2 linked regions of the Sus scrofa genome follow. The protein of the gene in region 1 interacts with the protein of each later gene in a biochemical or structural test. Links are inferred from orthologs where the notes say so. Each region holds a gene or a part of one and is shown on either strand. Other genes may lie near its edges.

Evidence for each region.
Region 2: of the proteins of PSRC1 (region 1) and ASB7, one has a biochemical effect on the other in vitro, tested with the Homo sapiens proteins (2 studies listed by BioGRID, with this or other methods). The link is inferred for Sus scrofa from reciprocal best matches to the Homo sapiens genes PSRC1 and ASB7.

The regions. Positions count from the first base shown.
Region 1 is NC_010446.5:110,811,871-110,816,163, forward strand, and holds the start of PSRC1 (proline/serine-rich coiled-coil protein 1), read left to right. Parts: upstream 1-1,441; 5' UTR 1,442-1,785; intron 1,786-1,791; exon of another isoform or gene 1,792-1,991; intron 1,992-2,159; 5' UTR 2,160-2,193; coding exon 2,194-2,212; intron 2,213-2,302; coding exon 2,303-2,360; intron 2,361-2,775; coding exon 2,776-3,217; intron 3,218-3,568; coding exon 3,569-3,683; coding exon of another isoform or gene 3,684-3,712; intron 3,713-3,773; coding exon 3,774-4,022; intron 4,023-4,293. UniProt on the Homo sapiens protein: Required for normal progression through mitosis. Required for normal congress of chromosomes at the metaphase plate, and for normal rate of chromosomal segregation during anaphase. Plays a role in the regulation of mitotic spindle dynamics.
Region 2 is NC_010443.5:139,189,830-139,194,358, forward strand, and holds the start of ASB7 (ankyrin repeat and SOCS box protein 7), read left to right. Parts: upstream 1-1,577; 5' UTR 1,578-2,169; intron 2,170-2,280; exon of another isoform or gene 2,281-2,336; 5' UTR 2,337-2,425; intron 2,426-4,529. UniProt on the Homo sapiens protein: Probable substrate-recognition component of a SCF-like ECS (Elongin-Cullin-SOCS-box protein) E3 ubiquitin-protein ligase complex which mediates the ubiquitination and subsequent proteasomal degradation of target proteins.

The sequences.
Region 1 (4,293 bases):
CGATCCAGCATTGCCGTGAGCTGTGGTGTAGGTTGCAGACGAGGCTCGGATCCTGAGTTGCTGCGCCTCTGGCGTAGGCTGGCGGCTACAGCACCAATTCAACCCCAAGCCTGGGAACCTCCATATGCCGCGGGAGCGGCCCAAGAAATAGCAAAAAGACCAAAAAAAAAAAAAAAAAAAAATTAGAGATGAATTTCCTTAGGAGAGAGAAACTTTTGTTTGCTAAAACTGTCTCCTCCACTTACCTGAAGGTGGGTGAAGGATTTCCCTACTCCGGCTCGCTGCTCCTAGGGGAAAAAGGAATGCAGTTAATTAAGAGTTTCTTTCCCTCTGATCTCCACCTGCCACTACCTGCCAGGAGAGAAGGGGAGCTACTGGCACAGGTTTTCCCACCTCCAAACAATCTGAGCCCTACAAGCAATTAAAATTCCACCTTCAGCAGAAAACCTATGGAAAAAGAGGCAAGCCTCTTCTCTGAGCTCTTCCTCACATCAACTTGCAACTTCTCAGCCTCCCCACCCTTTCCCTTATCAAGCCACTAAATTCCAAGGCTGCTCTGCTTCCTGTGGCATTTCTCACAGTAACACCTCACTCCTGCAAACCTCACCACCTGAACTTGACAACTAAAAACTAAGAGGTAAACAGAAAGCCTATAATGGTCATAAACTCTGGAGACTAAAAGCTCAGGCTCTTTGTTTTCGAGAAAGCTCTTCAACCACTCTTCCAGGGCCTTTTAACTTAAAATGTTTAGAACCTTTCTAAGAAGCTCAGTTAACTGGTAGCCCAGTCTATTCACAGGCAACCCTTGGAAACAACAAAGAAAATCCCTAATAAGGAGGCCTAAGCTTTTTTACAAACACAGCTTTTAATTTAGAGGAAGCAAGTCACCAACACTACCCTCAAAAGCCTCCGAGGCACAAGGTATAAAACATGGTGTGTTCATAATTATCCTCCTAACCATGTCCTACTGTGACGGCCACGATCCTCCTAGATAAGCGAGGGGTCAAATATAAACGCTGCCAGGTCAAATATGCTCCATATACTTGTCAACAGAGGAGCCACGGTTGCATCTGAAGCCAAACTTCCCTGTCTGAAAAGCCTGTTTTCTTCATACCTCAAGATGCCACAGGTTCCTAAAGTTCTTGCCTAAAAAGTCGATGGAAGATGTACTTCTTAGAGAACCTCAGTATACCTAAGGTATAAAGTTTGGTTGCTTCCGTAAACTTGGAAAAAATCACAACTGAGGGCCCTGGCTACCACGGCGCTTCCGAAAAGAGCCCCCGGACGAACTTCCTCAGGCAGAGCGTTAGCTTTGGGGCCGACGGCCGTGAGGGGCGTCAGAACCCAGCCCCGCCCAGCACGAGGAGGGGGCGGAGAAGGGGGGGGGGCCGGCCGGGAGCGAGGCTCTCACTCATTGGTCCGTTCCCTCGCGCGCCGCCGCGAGGTCCCGCCCCTCGCAGGCCCCGCTCCCGGAGGGTAGCCCTGAGAGGTCTTCCCCGCTCGCGCGCGCGCGCGCTCGCGGCCTCCCTGCTCCAGGCCTCCCGGCTTTAGCTCTCCGGATGGAGCCTTTCTTGGAACGGCTCTTCGCCTGGTTCCCACCTGCAGACTTCCGGCCGGCGGCCCCCTCCGCCGCCCCGCCCCACGAGGGCGGGAGATGCTGGCCGCCACCAATCATGAGTGCGCATGGTAGGAGAGGGTGGGGCCTGAGAGATTCGAAAGGAGCCCCGCCCCCTCGGAGCTGATTCCCGGGACTAGGTTGTGGAAGGAAAGCACCTTCCGCAGGAGGTGAGGCGGAACGGAAAGTAGAAATAGGGTGGGCTGCCGGCGTGGAAGGGATGTGGTGCCGCGGGGAGTAGAAAGGTGGCTTGGAGAGAGGAAGAACCAGAGAATGGTCGCGGAGAGGGAGATGGGGGGGCGTAGACCGCCCTGCGAGGAGAGGTCGGGTCGCAGGGGGCGGGGGCCGCCGTGCGCAGGGACATTGGAGTGTGGAGGTACGTGTCTGGACCTGTCCCGGAGATAACAGGGGTGGTTTACTGGAGCAAGTGCTGCTCTCGGGATGCTTGCTTCACCTCCAAGCACGACCCCTTGCAGCCTAGCTGGGCCTAGCTGGGAGGCCTTGGGCAGAATGGAGACCTGAGGGGAGGTATTTTTCTCTCCAGCTCAAGTCTAAGCTGATTCTTGCTTCTCTGGAACATGGAAGGTTTAGAAGAAGGTAAGGAAACCCTGGAGGGAAGAATGAGGCCCTGTGATTGAGAGCCGTGTTTGGGACCCAAGGCTGTATTTCTTCTTTCCTCCCCTACAGATGTAAAGTTTATAGTGGATGAGACCTTGGACTTTGGGGGGCTGTCACCATCTGACAGGTAGTAGACTCTTTATCCTACTTACTTTGCTTCCACAATGCTTGTCTTTAACTTTTACTGGCCTCGGGTCTGGATTGGGAATTTAGCAAGATTGGGTGCACTGAGGATTCTGGGTAGCTGGTTGACTTGGGCCCCTTGTGACACGACTGGGGGAGGGGAGAAGGGATAAGCTGGAATGAGATTGCAGGGTGTTAAGTAGAAGGGTAAGTAGATTTGCCGCATCTTCATCCTGACATAATTTCCAATGTCAGAAAATGCTGAAGGCCTCATAGAACCAGGTGTCTCATCAGGTAGATCTCACAGCCAGCAGGGACATCAGGGTTGGGGTTGTGGCTCTGGCTCAGACGTGGGGGCTTTGCCCAGTCTCCTTCTCTCTAACGTGTGGGCATGGTGTTCGGTTTGTTTTCTGCGTCAGTCGAGAGGAAGAAGATATAGCAGTGTTGGCGACTCCAGAGAAACCTGTCCGACGAGGCCTCTCTCATCGAAGTGACCCGAATGCTGTGGTCCCCGCCCCCCAGGGTCTGAGGCTCAGCTTAGGCCCCCTCAGCCCAGAGAAGCTGGAAGAAATCCTCGATGAGGCCAATCGGTTAGCAGCTCAGCTGGAGCAGTGTGCCCTGCAGGAGCGAGAGAACACGGGCGAGGGCCCAGTGCCTCGAAGAGTGAAGCCCAGCCCTCGGCGGGAGACCTTTGTGCTCAAGGACAGTCCTGTCCGAGACCTGCTGCCCACGGTCAGCTCTCTGGCTCGGAGCACTCCCTCCCCCAGCAGCCTGACACCCCGCCTCCGCAGCAGTGACAGGAAGGGGTCAGTCAGGGCTCTTCGGACGACATCTGGAAAGAGGCCCCCCAGCGTGAAGAGGGTGAGTTTAGAGAGTTTGGGTTGATGTGTGCCCCTGGCACTGTTCATGACTCAGTACAGGTGTAGAGCAGTTTTCTTGTCAGTGAAATGGAAGTCACATTCTACCTCATTAAATTGTTGGAATTAAACGGGGTACCATGAGCAAAGCGCAGCACAGCGTCTGCAAAGCTCTATAACGTCTCTAATAAGCTCTCGATAAATGACATCGGAGGCGATGATGACGGTGTTGGCAGCTAACTGCTCTTCCTTATTGGGATCTAGGTGACTCTCCACCTCGATCCCTTAATCAACCAGCAGAACCGATTCTCTTTGCATCCTAGTGCCTTTTTTCCTCCCTCTCTTTGTGTTTCAGGAGTCGCCCACTTGCAGTCTGTTCCCTGCATCCAAAAGCCCAGCGTCTTCTCCTCTTGCCCGATCAACTCCTCCAGTCCGGGGGAAAGCTGGGCCCAGTGGGAGAGCAGTAGCAAGTGAGAAGACCTTGGCAGCAAAGCCATGGGTGTGTGGGAGGAGGGAGGATGTGGAGCTAACCCTAAAATTCCTCACCTCCTCTCCACCAGGCCCCCCGACCCCCGTCAGACCAGTCCTAACCCCACAGCCTTCTACCAGCAATTCTCAGCGCCCATCTCGGCCACAGGGAGCCACGGCTAAACCTTCCAGTCGACTACCGGTTCCATCGGCCATTCCTCGGCCCGCCAGCAAGATGCCGCTCACTGGCCGGACTGTACCATCCAGCAAAGGTGCCCTTCCCCCAGACCCGCTGTCAGCTCGGAAAGGACTTCCAAGACCAGGTGCCACAGGGCACAAAGGTGAGGAAGGGTGGACAGAGGGTAAGAAATCAGGAGGAGGAACACCCACCCTTGCCCAGCCTGAACACGCCCTCCCGGAGCTGGTGACAGTGACTTTCGCTACCTTGCTCACAGCTCTGTTTGACCATGAGGAGACCGACTTAAGGAGAAAATGCGGGTCTGGGCAGAGTTTGAGCCTTAGGTTTTTTACCTTAGCTGGGAAGGGGCGCTAAATCCTGGACTTGTTCTGTCTTCATTCAGTATCTCTGAGAAGGTCACTTGAACCTTTTAC
Region 2 (4,529 bases), on another chromosome or scaffold:
CAACAGGCAGCTCATGTAGAAGACACCAAAATGAGAGTTCTTGGTGAATGAATGATAATGAATGAATGATAATGAAAAAGAAAATACCAGGGCCCTTTTTAAAGTGTTTTCAGTGACTTCCCCCGCCACCTGCCACAAAACATCTTAGTATATTTTAGTTACATAAAAGGAGTTGATATGTTGAAATAGTACCTCCTTTATATAATTAGGCCTTTCTTTGAGGACACTGATGGTAGCCAAAGGTCTGGTGAATTGGGTGACTTAGTTTAAAACAAAGTCAACTCTTGCCTGGACTATCACAACAGTCTTTCTATAACCCCACTCTCAGCTACAGCTTTCTCCAGCAGCCAGTGATCTTTTCAAAACATAGAGTTATGATCATTTTTCTACCACCTTACCACCCGCTACAAGGTCCTACAAGATCTGGAGACTGTCGCGCCGCTTCACCATCAACCCCAACTTCACCACAAACCATTATCCCTCCTATGATGCTGGACTACCTGGTTCTCTTTCTTGCAGTTTCTGTCCACAGCAAAAGTTATTCTAGCATCAGAGGTTTTGCACTTTTGATGTCTCCGCCTGCAAAATCCTCCCCAACCCACCCGACCCCGGATCTTGGCATGGCTGGCATCTCCTCATTCAGATCACTATTCAAATGCCACATTCTCAGGGACCTTTATTATCAAAACAGCCATCACATCTTAGCCAATCTCCACCCCATTCCGCTTCCCTTTACATAGCCTATCTCTACCTGATAAATAGTTTCGTGTTTGTCAGTCTCCCTTGGTAAAGTGAAAACTCCACGATGATGAGTGATTGCATCTACCTCGTTCACCGAGGTCTCCCTAACGGCTACAACAGTGCCCGGTCGGTAAATACCTGCTCAATGAAAAGAAGCACTTAATAAACATGGCCATCTCCCGTATTTTCCCCTCTCTCCCTTTCAGCCACAGGAATTCCTGAGGGACTTCACCCTTCCAGGCAAACCCTTGAAGCGACACCGCCAGCCCACAGGACTCTCTTTCTTCGCCAGGCGAGGAACGCCATCCTGGGAACTAACGGAGCCCCGGGGGCCGAAAGACCTGCCAAGGCCCGGCACCCGCGTCTGAGAAGCGCTGAAGAGGGCGGTGGGACAAGGCTCCCCTCTCCTCGCCTCCTGGAGACTGCCGCCTTTCTAAGCCTAAGCCTAAGCCCAGAGACAGCCTCTCAGTAGGTCGCACACACGCCTCCCGCGCCGCCAAAGTTAGCGGCCGCTGCCAATTACCTGCAGGGAACCAGCTCGAGCCACCCTGACTCCGCACCGCCATTCGCGTGAGCACCGGCCCCTTCCGGGCCACCGTAGTTCGCGGAGAGAACCCGGCGTTGCCTTCTCCCGCATGCGCAGAGGCCCTGTGCGGCGCACCGCGTTTCTTAGCAACCGCCTGGAGTCCCTCCGCCAGGGGCGGAGCATTGGAAGCCTCAGAAGGGGAAGTGAGTGAGGCCAATCCGAGAGGAGTCCTAGCCCCAATCGGCACGCCTCCCCTAACTGTCGCGAATGCGCAGGCGGCTTTACGGCAGGCAAGGGGTGGGGGCTGCTGGGGGTAGGAGGAGAGAAGGAAGCAACCAACCAACCAAGTTGTCCCCACCCCCCACCCCCACCCACTCCGGACCTGGTTTACGGCTCCGGGCTCAGGCTCCAGTGCGGCCGCTGATTGGCTGCTGAAGGCTTGGTCCCATCCCAGTGACCCCAAAGTGCTGGAGGGAGGGGGCGGGGGTGGCCCAGTGCAAAGTGCATCCCGAAAGCCCCCTGCCTGGAGCCCCCGCGGCTGGCACTTGGGACCCTGTATGACCCGGGACCTCGCTGCCCCGAGACCTCCTGTGCCCCCAGTGGCTGGGAGCCTCCGGCCCGGAGCGCGGCAGCCCCCTGCTCTGAGCCTTCAGACCGGGACTGCCCCCCCACCCGAGCCGGGACTTCCTCCCTGCACCCCTGCCCCGAGGCTGCCCGGCGGCCAGCACCGCCGCCTCAGGTCGGCTCGGCTGTGTGGATGCTGGCCGGACTGGGGCCGTGAGGCACCGAGGAGGACCAGGAACAGCCGCGTCCGGCCCTGCCTGGGCTGTTTCTTCAATGGAGAAGTTGGTGAGTGTGGAGGAGGCTGAAAGGAGGAAGAGAAGCAGCAGCTGAGGAGACAGGTAAAGTCAGTTACCTCCCGGAGGGGAAGGGGGCTGGCCTGGGAGGGAGGAGAATCCCTGCTTCTTCCTGCCTGCCTTTACCACTCTCTTCCTCTGCTCTCCCCTCCTCAGATCCCCCTCCTCCTCGCCCCGGGGCTCTGCACAGCTTTCTGCTTTCTGATCTCCAGGTTTGAGCTGGCTTGAGGAGGCGAGAGGGCAGGAAGGGTCTACCACCAGAGAAGCAGCAGAGAGCCTCTGACCAGCATCCTCCATAAAGGTAATAAGCCACTCCTCCCCTCCCCCATTGTTTATTCTTGGCCCCTACCTCATTAAGCAGTGCTTTATTTTCGGGATGGTTACCTGGGAATGCAACCCTTTCCTGGCCCCCAGTTTCCAGGCAAAACCAGAAACACTGCCTATGCCCTGATCTTTAACATTTTAATAACTTCTTTTTCCCAGGAACGTATTTTATCCCTTTTGCTCTGCACAGTGTTTTCGTGTTTTGCATTTTCTTTCGGTACACTGAACCGTGTACCCTGCTCAGAGACTTTGAGACCTTTTTGTGGTTTCCCTGCCCCTCTTACTCTCATAGGAATTCCTCAATTCCTGGTTAATTGCTTGTTAATTCTGAATGACTCTGCTTTTTAATTAAACTACAATTTTCTGCTTTCCCTGTATACTTTCCTATAACCTTTTCTCTACCTCTACCAGAAAGTCTTTTGAGTTATCTAACTGGTGAAGGTTTAGGTAGAGGAAGATACAGTAATAACTTGAAACTTAAGAGTTTCAGAAAATAATGCCAATTTTTTTTCTAGAAAAAATGAATCTGTGTACCTAAGTAGTATGAATAGTACGAAAGCAATACTCCCTTCTGAAGCACTTATGTATAATTAACTCTTTTGTGTATTTCTTGTGACAGATGTGGATGGGCTCTGAAATTCTTATAAAAAGATCAACCGTATTTGTTATATTTTGGGTTTCCTAGAACTTATAAAACTTTATGCAGTATCTTGTTAATCATTTGACACTCAGGAATTTAAAAACCAAAGACTGTTTTGGTGTATTTAGAATCTAGGGTTTTATTTTTGCACTCTTCATAAGATTTCTCATTTCAAAATCCTTACAGAGAATTGGTTAGATTGAAATGTAGGCATCTAATTCATGTGATCAGATTTCTGCTGCTGTATTTTGTTGCTGTCTTTGAAAATGAGCTAAAGGTAAGTTTAGGACATTCATGTAAATCCTGAAGAGGGGGTATAATCAGGGAAATTATGTAGGAGTTAATTCAGAAATTAGCCAAGTGAATAACTTCTCTAGCATCCAATAACAGGAGTATAAAGTGACTTGTTAATCTCAGAGTTATTTTAATGTCTCAGATTGTTTAGGGAATTTTAGGTACAAAGAAGTACTTAAAATAGCAGAAGTTAGGAAATCTTTGCCTTACTCTGTTCAGGTGGACTTTCTGCCTTCTAGTAAAAGAAATTAATGTCTTTCCTGATTCTTCTAATTGTCAAGGTACAGCTAAAGATACTTTTAAGGGGCCCTGAGGGTTTGTATCTTCTTGAAACCCAGCAATGGACAGCAAAAGGAGGGTGTCTGCTACCAAATGGGATTTAGAATCAGAATCTACCAAGGACTGTTTCCTGGTGAACATTTAGGGCACCCTTTGCATGTGTATGTAGGGTCCACTTCATTTCAGTAAATGCTAGGCAGAAGGCGATTTTTATTATTGAAATATATGAATCACCAGAGAAATGCCTAATGATTACTTTGGAACTTTTTAAAAAATGCTGAAATACTGGAAGTATGTTTTTAAAGTAAAAAGGAATTATGTATTTTCTATTCAGGTCTTTTCAGTTAAATATTTTTCTGCTTTAAGTTGAACTTTAGCATGTTTTCATTTTCTGAGAGGTGTTATCATCTGTGCTGAGAAAACACTGCTTCCCTCTGGTTTCCAATCAGTTCATTTTCATTGCTTAAATGTATTTCATTGACCCTCTCAGCTTTTAATGGTTTTTCTGAGAGTAGGGAATGTATGTAAATTGTCCACATCTGCTCCTAATATTAGCATGATTGAGAGTATTTGGTCTAGATTATGTCAAATGTTTAAAATATATGAGTACTTTCTTACCAACATGGCCAGTTAGTTAATCTTTTTCAGTCTGGTAGCTAACTTTGTGGTAATTCTATTATCAGTCACATGGTTTTGAAAGAAAAAAAAATCAGAAAACACCTGATTTATTTGGTAACCAAGTAAGGTTTATAATCGCATTGGGAGAATCACCAGTTTTGGTTGAAATGATGTATTTTGAGTATGTTATGGCCAATACTTACTTTCTTCATACCTAAAATGATGCCATTCACAATTATATTATGACACA